Arabidopsis thaliana: one gene and its partners. The protein of the gene in region 2 interacts with the protein of the main gene of each other region in a biochemical or structural test. Each region holds a gene or a part of one and is shown on either strand. Other genes may lie near its edges.

Region 1 (3,754 bases), 1.4 Mb from region 2:
TGTAGCTCGGGATTTCGGTCCTGCATGTGACACATATGGTTGTTCAGTGCAAGTTTCAGATCATAATGAAACAATGTGCTATGTTTAAACTTCAAACCAAGTTATTCGATAACATGCCATTTCTTTGCACCAAAAAAAAATAGAATACTCAGAGCTAGCACAAGATTGTAGAGATCTGAACCTGTTGAGAAGCCCAGCAGCTTGTGGCACATGGTAAACGATACATCAAAGTAGGCTACAAGGGCGTGGATGTAGTCATTGCGTTGTGCAACAAGCTTAAAGGGAGCTGTGAAGGAAGCATCACCAGAGGACATCTTTGAGATATCCATCGTCTGTTACAAACCCATAAGAATAATGAAATGAACATTAGTCACACAGGTAAAGAGATACTACTAATCATCATCATATGATATCTTATATACCTTTAGAAGCCTACTATCGGTGACGATTTGGTTTTGGTCGACTGTGTCAACAAGTGGTTCCATCATAGCTTTTTTCTTAATACATGACATGTCAAAACCATACACACTGTTCCAAACTGTAGCAGAACAACAAAAAAGAAATTAAAAATGCAAATCTCAACAGACATCAAGATCAATGTTGGAAAAAAAAAGACGAGAAAACGTGTCAAATCAATGCACTCACATTCGATTTTGTCTTCTTTGTACTCTGAATCCTCTATGGCTGTAAGATGCAGAGAGGCTTTGTCTGGTAGCACAACTCCACCTTCAACCTATCCATAAAAACACAGGACCAAGAAGATTTCATTTAATTGGTTTTGGTAACTAAGAATCTCATGTAACAAGGTGGAGCTGTAACTTACAAGCCATTTATCACGAGCATACAAGACACTGTCCAACATATTTTCAAACAACAAAAAGTAACCCATCCATTCCGATATAATCACATCCACTTTAGGAGTGGGAAGCTCTATCTCCTCAATCTTCCCTTTCAATACCGTAATAACTGCATCGATAAAACAAAAATCATGTTACAGAACAGAAGTTATCGATTTGAATACAACTCAACATGGATAAAAGACCTACCATCAGAAAATCCATTAGCTTTAACAATCTCCTTTGCCATGTCAGCCATTTGAGAACACTCAACCTATTAAGAAACATCCTCAATCAAATCAGTCAAAATTGAAAAAGATTCTTCTTACTTATGATTATTAAAAAAGAGACTGAAAGATTGAAGACATACAGCGTAGACATGAGCAGCTCCTGCCTTGGCACAGAACAGAGACAAAATTCCGGTTCCAGCTCCAACATCAAGAACAATTTTGTCCTTGATAAGAAACTTGTTCTGATAAATAACATTCTGATAAGTCTTTGTTCTCACAACATCCTTCAACATCTCCTGTCAGATACCATTCTCAATTCAGTCATCAGATATATACAGAAGAAAACACAATGAATTACATTAAACTTCTAGAACAAAAACTATAACAAAAAAAACTGAGCTTTGTCCTCGATACTTACTTCATGGATTCCTGCAAAAAAAAGTGGAACCAAATTCAACTCTTAGTAAGAATTCATAACCAAAGAGCACAAGGAAAAAAATAGAACTTGAAAAAAGGGAATTTACCAAAGTGAGAGTAAGAATCGAAGTAGTAATCGGCACTGGTGGTATCATCAGTTACTTCAGCGGTGTCGGCGCTCTCTCCGGCGTCGAACATGGACTCATCTTGGGGAGTTTCCTCGCCGGCAACACCAGACCCTTCAGCAACTTCGTCTTCATCAGCATCTTCAAAGCGTATCTTCGTGTTCTGATTTGGTTCAAAGCTGATGAACTCATTCTCGTCGTGGTTACTGTTCTTAGTCATCTTTTTTTCTCGGTCTCACACAAGAAGGAAGAGAGGAAAGGGTTTTTGGGGATAGAGACGAAGTCGCGAGATTAGGGTTTTATGAAGACACGAAGCTTTTAATTTGAAGTTTTTTTTTTCTCTCTTGTTAATGAATTTTATATTAGAACTAAAATTGTGCTCAAGATATTTTCTGTACCGGTTCGGTTTTCGTCGACAAGCACCAAACCGGTTAGATTTTATCTGTCCACTTGAACATTCAATCGGTTTAATATCCAACCACACAAACAAGACACTGAAACAAAATAAACTACATGTACAAGATTAGTAAAACACAGGCAATTTTTCCTTATTCCCATTAACAAAAATAAAGGTTGTATTATTGAGTTTTACTTATCAAGTTTTTAATTTCCATAAGCTGCCTAAGAGTAGCTACGATCACTTGGTCGGTGGCCAAGGCCCTCCAGCCATCACAGCTTCGATCTCCCATGTCTCTCGTGGAACATTCGTCATGTTCTTGCAGCCATTAGCAGTAACGACCTAAAAAAGAAATCACACATATACAACAAAATGAGATTATTGTATATGACATTACTCTTGAGAGTGTTTTAACTTGTAGACGTTGTAGTGAATATGAATTTGACATTACCAAATCGCTTTCGATTCTGACACCTCCGAAATTTCTGAATCTCTCTATTGTTTCACGGTTGAAGAACTTAGAGGTTGTTGCGTTTGCCATGGCTGGGAACAGCAATGCCTTGATGAAATAGCATCCTGGTTCCACCGTTATTACCTGACATAAATACGATTAGGACAATGAACAGAGACGATAAATGAGAAGAACCAAAAGCATTTCTACTTGAAACAATCGGCCCTTACCATTCCTTCAAGTAGGTCTCTTGCAGTTCGTAATGACTTCAATCCAGGTTTCTTTGGTCTCTCCACTCCCTAAAAGAATGAAAGATCAAAGCAACGGGTAAGACACAGGGACTGTGGTTTTATTTACGTGATGATACTATTGGGTTGAAAAAAGATTTGATGTACCTTTGGGTAGCCACCAGTATCGTGAGTGTCGATGCCCATGAAGTGACCTAGTCCATGAGGCATGAAAACAGCACCCAAGCGCTGTACCATCATGTCATCTACATCACTAGGAACAGAGAACGAAACCATGAGAATGAATTAACCTTTAGAGAAGAGTATTGAAATGTCTAACACAGAGAGAATTACCCAGTGAGTATGGACCCCTTCTTCAGTGACTCAAGGATGATTTTTTCAGCTAACCTGTACATTAATTTGCTTCAGTCGACAAAGAAAGCTGAATAACCATATGGAGATGTATTTCAATTTATCTCCCTAACAAGAGGATAAATCAAAATGGACCAAAGCAACTGAGTTTACGCTTACATTGTCAATCCCAATTACTGCATCTGCATGCATAGTAGAACAGAGCTATATAGCATCTCAGTAAGACTTACTTGTGCATATCCACCCAGTTTACTCCTGGCTTCATCGCAGAGATTACAGAATTATGTGCATCCAGAACAGCCTGAAAGGAAGGCAAAATCAGAGAAACTTATTCAGATGTAAAGCTTCAAGAGACTCACCAAACTCTGGATTGTGCGAAGACAAAAAATAGAGCACACATTTCTAATACATCCACGTTGCACCAATCTTGTAAGGCACTTACATTGTAGATTAGACTCTGGTCACTTGTAAATTTACCATTGACCTGCACACCAATTGATAAATATTAGAGACCACTTTCTCTAGATAACTACATTCAGCAAATTATGATGTTCATGTAAACAAGATTAAAAACACAAGTCAATGCGGTGCAAAGACAATTCAGAGGAAAATTAAGAATAGATTTGATGCTAGAAGAACTCACGGGGAATGAGCATGTTATGTCAGACCCATAAAAATGGTATTCAGCACCCATATCAA
Region 2 (3,754 bases):
CTTGCTCAGCTGGTTTGAATTGCTCCTGTTGAAGCTTCTTCACTTCAGTCTGGAACACAGCTTCTGCTGGAACGGTGGAGTCGATACAGTTTGCCTGCAAAAATGAGACAATACATGTTCACTAATCTTTCTCTCTTGAGAGATCATGGATTAAATAAATGTTTCGATTGCTACCCACCTTTATTGAGATCACAAAGTGTCCTCCTGACTTGAGGAAGTATGATGCATTCAAAGCCAAGATCCTAGCCTGCACGGTTTTAAATGGCACAGAAAATTTCATAAACAAAACAGTATAAAGTATACTAGAAGCAACCCACAAGCTGAATGGCATTTAGAAAACAAGTAGGTTTAACATCAGGAGAACCAAAACCGAGCAATAATAGACATTTAAATTTAGTATTGTTCTTAAAAACGAAATTGTAAAACAAGTACATAGTAAAATAAGATTAAGCTTAACAAAAACAAAAACAAGAATTTTCAGTACATCAGAAACTTGGAGATTGCATCACCCATAATGATCTGAAGGGGAATCCAAGTAAGATCATCATTTGCAATTATCAAAACACCATTTTAAAGCAAAGGACACATATAATGGTATTGGGTCAAGCTTTTTGAGGCAAATATTTAGACATTCATTGTGAGTTAAACAAAAGAAGCAAACCTGATCTGGCTGAGCAACATCAGAGAAGATAACATCAACCATGCCTACAAGCATTCTGTATTTAGCTGGGTGTCTAGCATCCTCGATGATTGGAATAACATTGGTTCTCTTCTTTGCCATGTTCACCAAATCTCTACCACTTCTATGAGAAAACTCAACCGCGTACACACACCCCTCCTATCAGATCACAAAGGCAATATATAAGAAACTCCAATACACGTCTAAAACCTGATAATCACAACATAAAGGACGGGTTCTGCTTACAGGGCCAACAAGATCAGACACATGAGAGACTGTGGTTCCAGAAGCAGCACCAAGGTATAGAACTTTAGCACCAGGTTTCTACATTGAAACGGGAACAACAATCAATATATGAACCAAGTCTCGCAAACAACAACAATAAGATTCACACAAGCTGATGCTTACAATCCAGATGTTATCAACACCACCAAGAATAGCAGCAGCCAACTTCGAACGGAAAGGATTCCAAACTCTGTATTCAGTCTTGGTTCCATCTTCGTTCTGCAGATTCAATCACAAGAACCATTAAAAACAAATTCATCAAAAGGAGTGCAAATACAAACCATCAATCAATTAATCAATCCTCTATAATACCTGAACAGAGATTCTCTTCTCGTTGTAGACAGCTTCACCAGGAACCAAATTCTTGGTAACAAGGGCATCTTCTTTACCCTTTGCAATGAACACTCCTGCGTGTCTGTGAGGTTCCACAATCACTTTGCTTCCTCCTTTCATGCCTCCACGGCCAGCTGGTCCTCTGCCGCCGCGAGCACCACCACGTGGTGGTCCTCTTCCTCTGCCGCGACCACCACGGTCGCTGAAACCTCTTCCTCCTCCTCTACCACCGCCACCTCGACCACCACTGAATCCACCGTCACCTCTACCACCACTGTATCCACCACGCCCTCTTCCACCACTGAACCCACCACCACTTCCTGAACACAAAAGACCATTCATTAGAGACTCCATGTTTAACATAAAACCCAACCATCAACTCTATATCCGATAGAACTAACGCAGACCCAATACAGTTCTAAGCAAAAAAGAACAAAGTTGACAATCAGTTCAGCTAAAGACATAAAGTTTTAAAGACTAAACGAGCTAAGAGTGTCACTCGCCATTGTTAATCTGATAAGCAAGCAATGAAGAAAAGAGAAGAGGCGGCTAGGGTTCTTACCAGTTAGAGGAGGTCTCATCTTTGCGTTAAGACTCTAAAGAATGCGAAAATCAAGGAGAAAAGCTTTTGATGAGAGAGAGAATGGCGATGGCGATGAAGCTGCGCTCGCAAGTGTTTTTATACATGTGTTTCAAGCTAGGGTTTTAACAGGGTTTTAATTTAACTCGCCTTATTTATTATTATTTACGTTTTAATCCTTATATTATGTATACATATCTTTTTCTGCTGTCAACTATTTAGAATTAACATTTTGCCCCTCGTAGTTAAAGCTTTATGAAATTCTATCATCACACACACTAACGTGTTACAGCAACAACAAAATTGTGTGTAAATATATTAATCGTCTTACCATTGTAAATTGTAATACACAACATTTAATCGTTACCATCATTTCTCTACACATAAGAAAACAAATACCCAAAAACCAGAAAATTCTAGTTCCAGAGCGAACATGTCTCTTACAATGAAACTGGGCTGCTAAATATGTGGGCTTTAGTTATAGTGGTGTGGGCCATAATAATTTTCATAAATAGTTTATGGTAAAAGCCCACATAATTAGTTTATACGAGGTCCACTCTAACATTACAAGTTCTCATAAATAATTTTCTTCTGTAGTCTGTTTATACAAGGTCCAATATAACATACAAAAATCACTTATGATAAAAACTTATTTATAAATATTGATTTTAAAGCAAATTTTAAACTTTATTATACTCAAACCTATCTTTACTTTAGTCTACCGAAGTGGAGACTCATGTTAACTCGAAAATACAAAATGATTAGTGAGTTAACATGTTCACATACAATGAAAAGGAAATCATATGTAGACACAGTGTTAAAACACTAATTCTAGATAAACATATCACAATCAATGAATGAGTTAGTGAGATGAGATTATTAGTGAATATGTTACACACGGAATGGATAAATTAGAATGAAAGAAATAAATGTGAGAGAATGGAGAGGGAAGTGTGCATGTGGGATGTTGGGGAAAATAGGTCCCATTACCCATCCTTTTTTCTTTTTGAGTCTCTCCCTACCAATCATTATAACTTTTCTCAACTTATACATTCTGAACTATTTATTTCTATTTGTCAAATTAATGGTTATGCTTTAATACATTTATATCCCAATTGGCATATACATGTTGTAGAGTAGCTAGCTATGTCATAGGCTTGAAAATGTTTTTGTTTATAGGAATGAAGATTCCCATTGATTATTCCACTTATTTGGCACTTTTTATCATGTTCAATGTCTACTAGATAAGCATGTGGCTACTAGTGGATGGCCACCTTTGGGGGTAAAATTTTGTTAGTAATATACCATTTCTAGTTATATTTTTAATATGTATACCTATGGACATATCCATTTTGTATCTATCCACACGTTGCAAGACTTACATTAGTTACATAATTCGAATATATAATAATTTCGATCTGTAGAGGTGTGGAAAAGTGAAGCCTTGTTTAGTTGACTTGTTGATTAACTGAATTAGATATCTAAGCTCGTATATATGATTTCATTATGTTATAACGCATAGTTGATTAAACTTACTAGATTACTATCAATAACTGATTTCCGTTTTAAACTTAGGTTTACAATAGATCTATATACGTAGATGAAATTTTCGAGCATAGTAAGAAGAATTTACAATCTAAGTTTAAAGTCATACATTGTTTGATCTATATCTCTATCTATAATATATAAAATTATATTAAAAAGGAGAAAATGTGCTGAAAAGTTTGTATGATGAAAATGAATAAATCATTGTTTTAAATTGAAGTTAAATTTACGTAAATGTGTGCCGCTATTCCACATAATTGTAAAAGGCAATCTTAAAAAGTAATTTTCAAAGTCAAGGTAAAAGAGTAGATATTTAATTTATAGTTCGTCAA
Region 3 (3,754 bases), on a different chromosome or scaffold from region 2:
GGAGCTGTGAAGGAAGCATCTCCAGCAGCCATCTTAGAGATATCCATTGTCTTTAGTCAAAAAAAACAAAGGCCAACAACAAAAGGAATATGCATTAGCTACAGAAAATTAGGGAGATGTAATTAACTACTACAGCACAATCTTACTTACCTTCAGCAGCTTGCTATCAGTCACGATTTGGTTACCATCAACGGTGTCAACAAGCGGTTCTGTAATTGCTCTTCTCTTGATGCACGACATGTCAAACCCATACACGTCGTCCCAAACTGTACATGAAACGACAAGAAGCAAAGCCGATTGCAAAAAAATCAGGTTTCGAAGATAAATGTTAGCAAAAAGAAAGACAAGATCTTTCATATTACTCACACTCTACTTTGTCGTCTTTATAATGAGCATCCTCAATGGCAGTAACATAAAGAGAAGCTTTATCTGGTAGAACAATTCCACCATCAACCTAACCCAAAAGGAACCAAAAGCACACAAAACTGTTCAAAGCTATGATGAAACCATCATCAACATAAGAACACAGAAAACTCTCACTTACAAGCCATTTATTGCGAGCATACAAGACGGTGTCAAGCATATTTTCATACAACAGAAAGTAACCCATCCATTCAGAGATAATCACATCCACTTTAGGAACTGGAAGTTCGATCTCCTCAATCTTCCCTTTCAAAACCGTTATAACTGCCAACAAAACAAACACAAACACTTGTTTCAGCCAACTACCATCAGATCATAAACCATTTGAATAACACTCTAAACACATACATACCATCTGAGAATCCATTCGACTTAACAATCTCCTTTGCTGTGTCAGCCATTTGAGAACACTCAACCTAAGAATCATTAGTCAAATCAGATCAATAAGAGCCAAACTTTGATTAACGGAGAAGATAAAGAGACATACTGCGTAAACGTGAGCTGCTCCTGCTTTAGCACAGAAGAGAGACAAGATTCCAGTTCCAGCTCCAACATCAAGAACAATTTTGTCCTTGATAAGAAACTTGTTCTTGTAAATAACATCTTGATAACTCTTTGTCCTCACTACATCCTTTAACATTTCCTAATAATAATAACATCACCATAGAAAAACTGTTATACACATTGCCTAGGTTTCAGAACAAAGGATTCAAAACAAAACAAAAAAGCAGGAGACTTTACTTACTTCATGAATACCTGCAAAAATCAATCAATTGGAAACAGAGTAAGCACTTTGCAGAGAATAAGATAACATGAAGAAAGCAACATTATATAATGAAAGTTCAAGGGTTTATACCGAAATGAGAGTAAGAATCGAAGTAGTAATCGGCGCTGGTAATGTCATCAGCAACATCGGCATTGTTGTCATCTCCATCGTGCATTGATTCATCAGCATCCTCGAAGTGTAACTTCGTCGTCTGAGTTTCATCAGAGCCGTTGTTGTTGTTCTCCGTACTAGTCATTTTTTGCGGCAAAGAGAGAGGTTTTGGATGGCTAACAGATTCGAATAAGCAAAAAGATTTAGGGTTTTAGGATGGATACGAACTTTATGTTATGTGTATGATTCTATTTCAGCCGCCGGTTCAATTGTTTTTGACAGATAAACCGGTTTGGTTTATACCGATCCGGTTCGGTTATTGTCGTAATTATAAGGCAGTGTAGATGAAATTTGGAGGAAAAGATTCTGACGCTGGTAGTGGTGAGTGGTGAGCACGGCCAAAAGGTATGGCTTGCTTACGATCACCGATTCATTCTTCTTTTATTTCGTTTAAGATTCTGATATTTTGGTCTAAAATTCTTCTTCGCTCTTTTGGATTTTGGTTTTTAGGGGTTTAAAGTTTGTTTTTTTATGTGTTTGAGTCTCAGATCTAATTTGAAATCTCTTCACTGCGATAATGCTTTTTAGGTTTTGAATTGCTTAATTTTTCCATAATTCGGATTCGTTCGATTTGTTAGTCTGGAATTGAGGACTAGGGTTTTAGTGATTTAGCTTGATATGTGTGAAAAGCCTTATGCTTTTGGATGCCTTGCTTCTGAAATTACATTTTTTCAGTTTCCTGTTTTAGTTATTGAATTCTATCGTGGAGGTGTATAATGAACCATGCTATTGTATATGATGAGCTAATCTTTCTTGTTTAGGCTTAGTTTCTGAGACTCAATTGGTAAATGCTAAACTTGGTTTCTATGATTTTGTAGGATTTTGGTATTGAAAAATGGCATCAAAATTGGTTCAACTTCAATCAAAGGCATGTCAGGCTTCAAAGTTTGTGGCCAAGCATGGGAATTCGTACTACAAGCAATTGTTGGAGCAGAACAAGCAATACATCCAAGAGCCTGCAACTATAGAGAAGTGCAGTGAATTGTCTAAACAATTGCTCTACACTCGTCTTGCTAGGTCATTACCATTTTCTTCTCTCTTTATCTCATGGACATATTTTCAATGGCCATGCTCAAACTATCTTTTATGTATACTTTTGAAACATTAATCTTTAGAGAATGCTGATGAAATGTGCAAGTTGAATTTGCATTACTCGCGAGTAGGTAGCCTTTTTTGCCTGAAAAAAATATGCTTGAGAATTTGTTATCCTCTAGTAGTTTTTGTCCTCGATGGAATTGAGCTTGTAAATATCCTTTGATTAGGATAATATATGTGCCTGTCTTGTTTTTCCTGTCTAGATAACACATTATAAGCACCACATTGTGTTTTGCTATCAGTTGAAGAGTTCGGCTTTCTGTGATACGCAATCTTGCGTCTATAGCTAATACTCTTCTTACTAACTACAGCATTCCCGGGCGCTACGAAACATTTAGGAAAGAAGTAGACTACGCAAAGAACTTATTGAAGAACAGAGCGAATCTGAAGGTGGAAGATGCAGGAATCGCTGCATTGTTTGGCTTAGAATGCTTTGCTTGGTTTTGCGCAGGTGAAATCGTCGGCAGAGGATTCACTTTCACCGGCTACTACCCTTGAAATTGAGACAACAAACAACCAGGTCGCCGGAATATTCTTCCTGACGCTTGTAACTCCCTCCATATGATTCCTCACTTGAACTATATATACTTCCTCGAATCCATTTATATTTTCAGTTTTTTCCTGAAACAGAAGTGTTGGAGCTAAGGGAAAAAAAAACATTTTGGTAAAGCTCTTAATAAGTTGAGAAAAATGCATTTGATACAAGATTCTTCTTTAGATATTTATTTTATCCACAAAGTTTAATATCTGTTCACAATATTTAAAACATCAGAGAATTATTTTTTTTAATATATTAAGTGATTGTTAATTGTCGAATAACTTCAAAAATAGAGGAATATTTGAAAAAAATGTTATTTTGAAGAATTTATGATATTCACAAGAAAATGATTTTTGAGTAAAAAACTGTTATTTTTATTTTGTTTGAGAAACTGATATCATAGTTGAAGTAAAAATTTAATTTTGCAGCTGATAAATTCAAAAATAGAAATATATAATACATTTATTTGAGTGGACTTAAGATAAAATATTGAATTAACTTCAAATCTCAGCGAGAGAATATTCAAAAAAATAATAATAAAATTTTGGTATGTGCGAGAAAGCAGGAAGACCAATGGGATCTTAAGGAGACCCAATTGGAATCTTTAGCCACAATTTCGAAACCTTAGCGAAGAAGACAACAACGATTTACGAGACGACGACGATGATGTTTCGCACTTCATTGATGCGTTTCGCGGCAGCTTTCTTCGCCATTGTCTTCGTCGTTCTCGTCGGTGTCGCTCGCAGTGAGGTTCGATTTGG

Evidence for each region.
Region 1: the proteins of FIB2 (region 2) and PRMT11 form a complex in vitro, tested with the Arabidopsis thaliana proteins (one study listed by BioGRID).
Region 3: the proteins of FIB2 (region 2) and PRMT1A form a complex in vitro, tested with the Arabidopsis thaliana proteins (one study listed by BioGRID).

The regions. Positions count from the first base shown.
Region 1 is NC_003075.7:14,489,813-14,493,566, reverse strand, and holds the start of PRMT11 (arginine methyltransferase 11), read right to left. Parts: upstream 1,946-3,754; 5' UTR 1,829-1,945; coding exon 1,591-1,828; intron 1,496-1,590; coding exon 1,485-1,495; intron 1,363-1,484; coding exon 1,207-1,362; intron 1,111-1,206; coding exon 1,047-1,110; intron 967-1,046; coding exon 824-966; intron 734-823; coding exon 646-733; intron 539-645; coding exon 423-538; intron 333-422; coding exon 182-332; intron 21-181; coding exon 1-20. Other genes in the region: AT4G29490 (Metallopeptidase M24 family protein), read right to left, coding at 2,246-2,347, 2,457-2,600, 2,687-2,755, 2,852-2,957, 3,038-3,091, 3,286-3,356, 3,498-3,539, 3,699-3,754. UniProt on the Arabidopsis thaliana protein: Methylates (mono and asymmetric dimethylation) the guanidino nitrogens of arginyl residues present in a glycine and arginine-rich domain. Type I arginine methyltransferase active on both histones and non-histone proteins.
Region 2 is NC_003075.7:13,072,363-13,076,116, reverse strand, and holds the start of FIB2 (fibrillarin 2), read right to left. Parts: upstream 2,028-3,754; 5' UTR 1,879-2,027; coding exon 1,860-1,878; intron 1,618-1,859; coding exon 1,277-1,617; intron 1,184-1,276; coding exon 1,088-1,183; intron 1,004-1,087; coding exon 926-1,003; intron 839-925; coding exon 662-838; intron 555-661; exon of another isoform or gene 482-554; intron 248-481; coding exon 179-247; intron 95-178; coding exon 1-94. UniProt on the Arabidopsis thaliana protein: S-adenosyl-L-methionine-dependent methyltransferase that has the ability to methylate both RNAs and proteins. Involved in pre-rRNA processing.
Region 3 is NC_003071.7:8,499,670-8,503,423, forward strand, and holds the start of PRMT1A (protein arginine methyltransferase 1A), read right to left. Parts: upstream 1,626-3,754; 5' UTR 1,446-1,625; coding exon 1,280-1,445; exon of another isoform or gene 1,277-1,279; intron 1,180-1,276; coding exon 1,169-1,179; intron 1,067-1,168; coding exon 911-1,066; intron 840-910; coding exon 776-839; intron 688-775; coding exon 545-687; intron 455-544; coding exon 367-454; intron 267-366; coding exon 151-266; intron 51-150; coding exon 1-50. Other genes in the region: AT2G19680 (Mitochondrial ATP synthase subunit G protein), read left to right, coding at 2,196-2,377, 2,767-2,953; PLA2-BETA (phospholipase A2-beta), read left to right, coding at 3,657-3,743. UniProt on the Arabidopsis thaliana protein: Methylates (mono and asymmetric dimethylation) the guanidino nitrogens of arginyl residues present in a glycine and arginine-rich domain. Type I arginine methyltransferase active on both histones and non-histone proteins. Mediates the methylation of MED36A.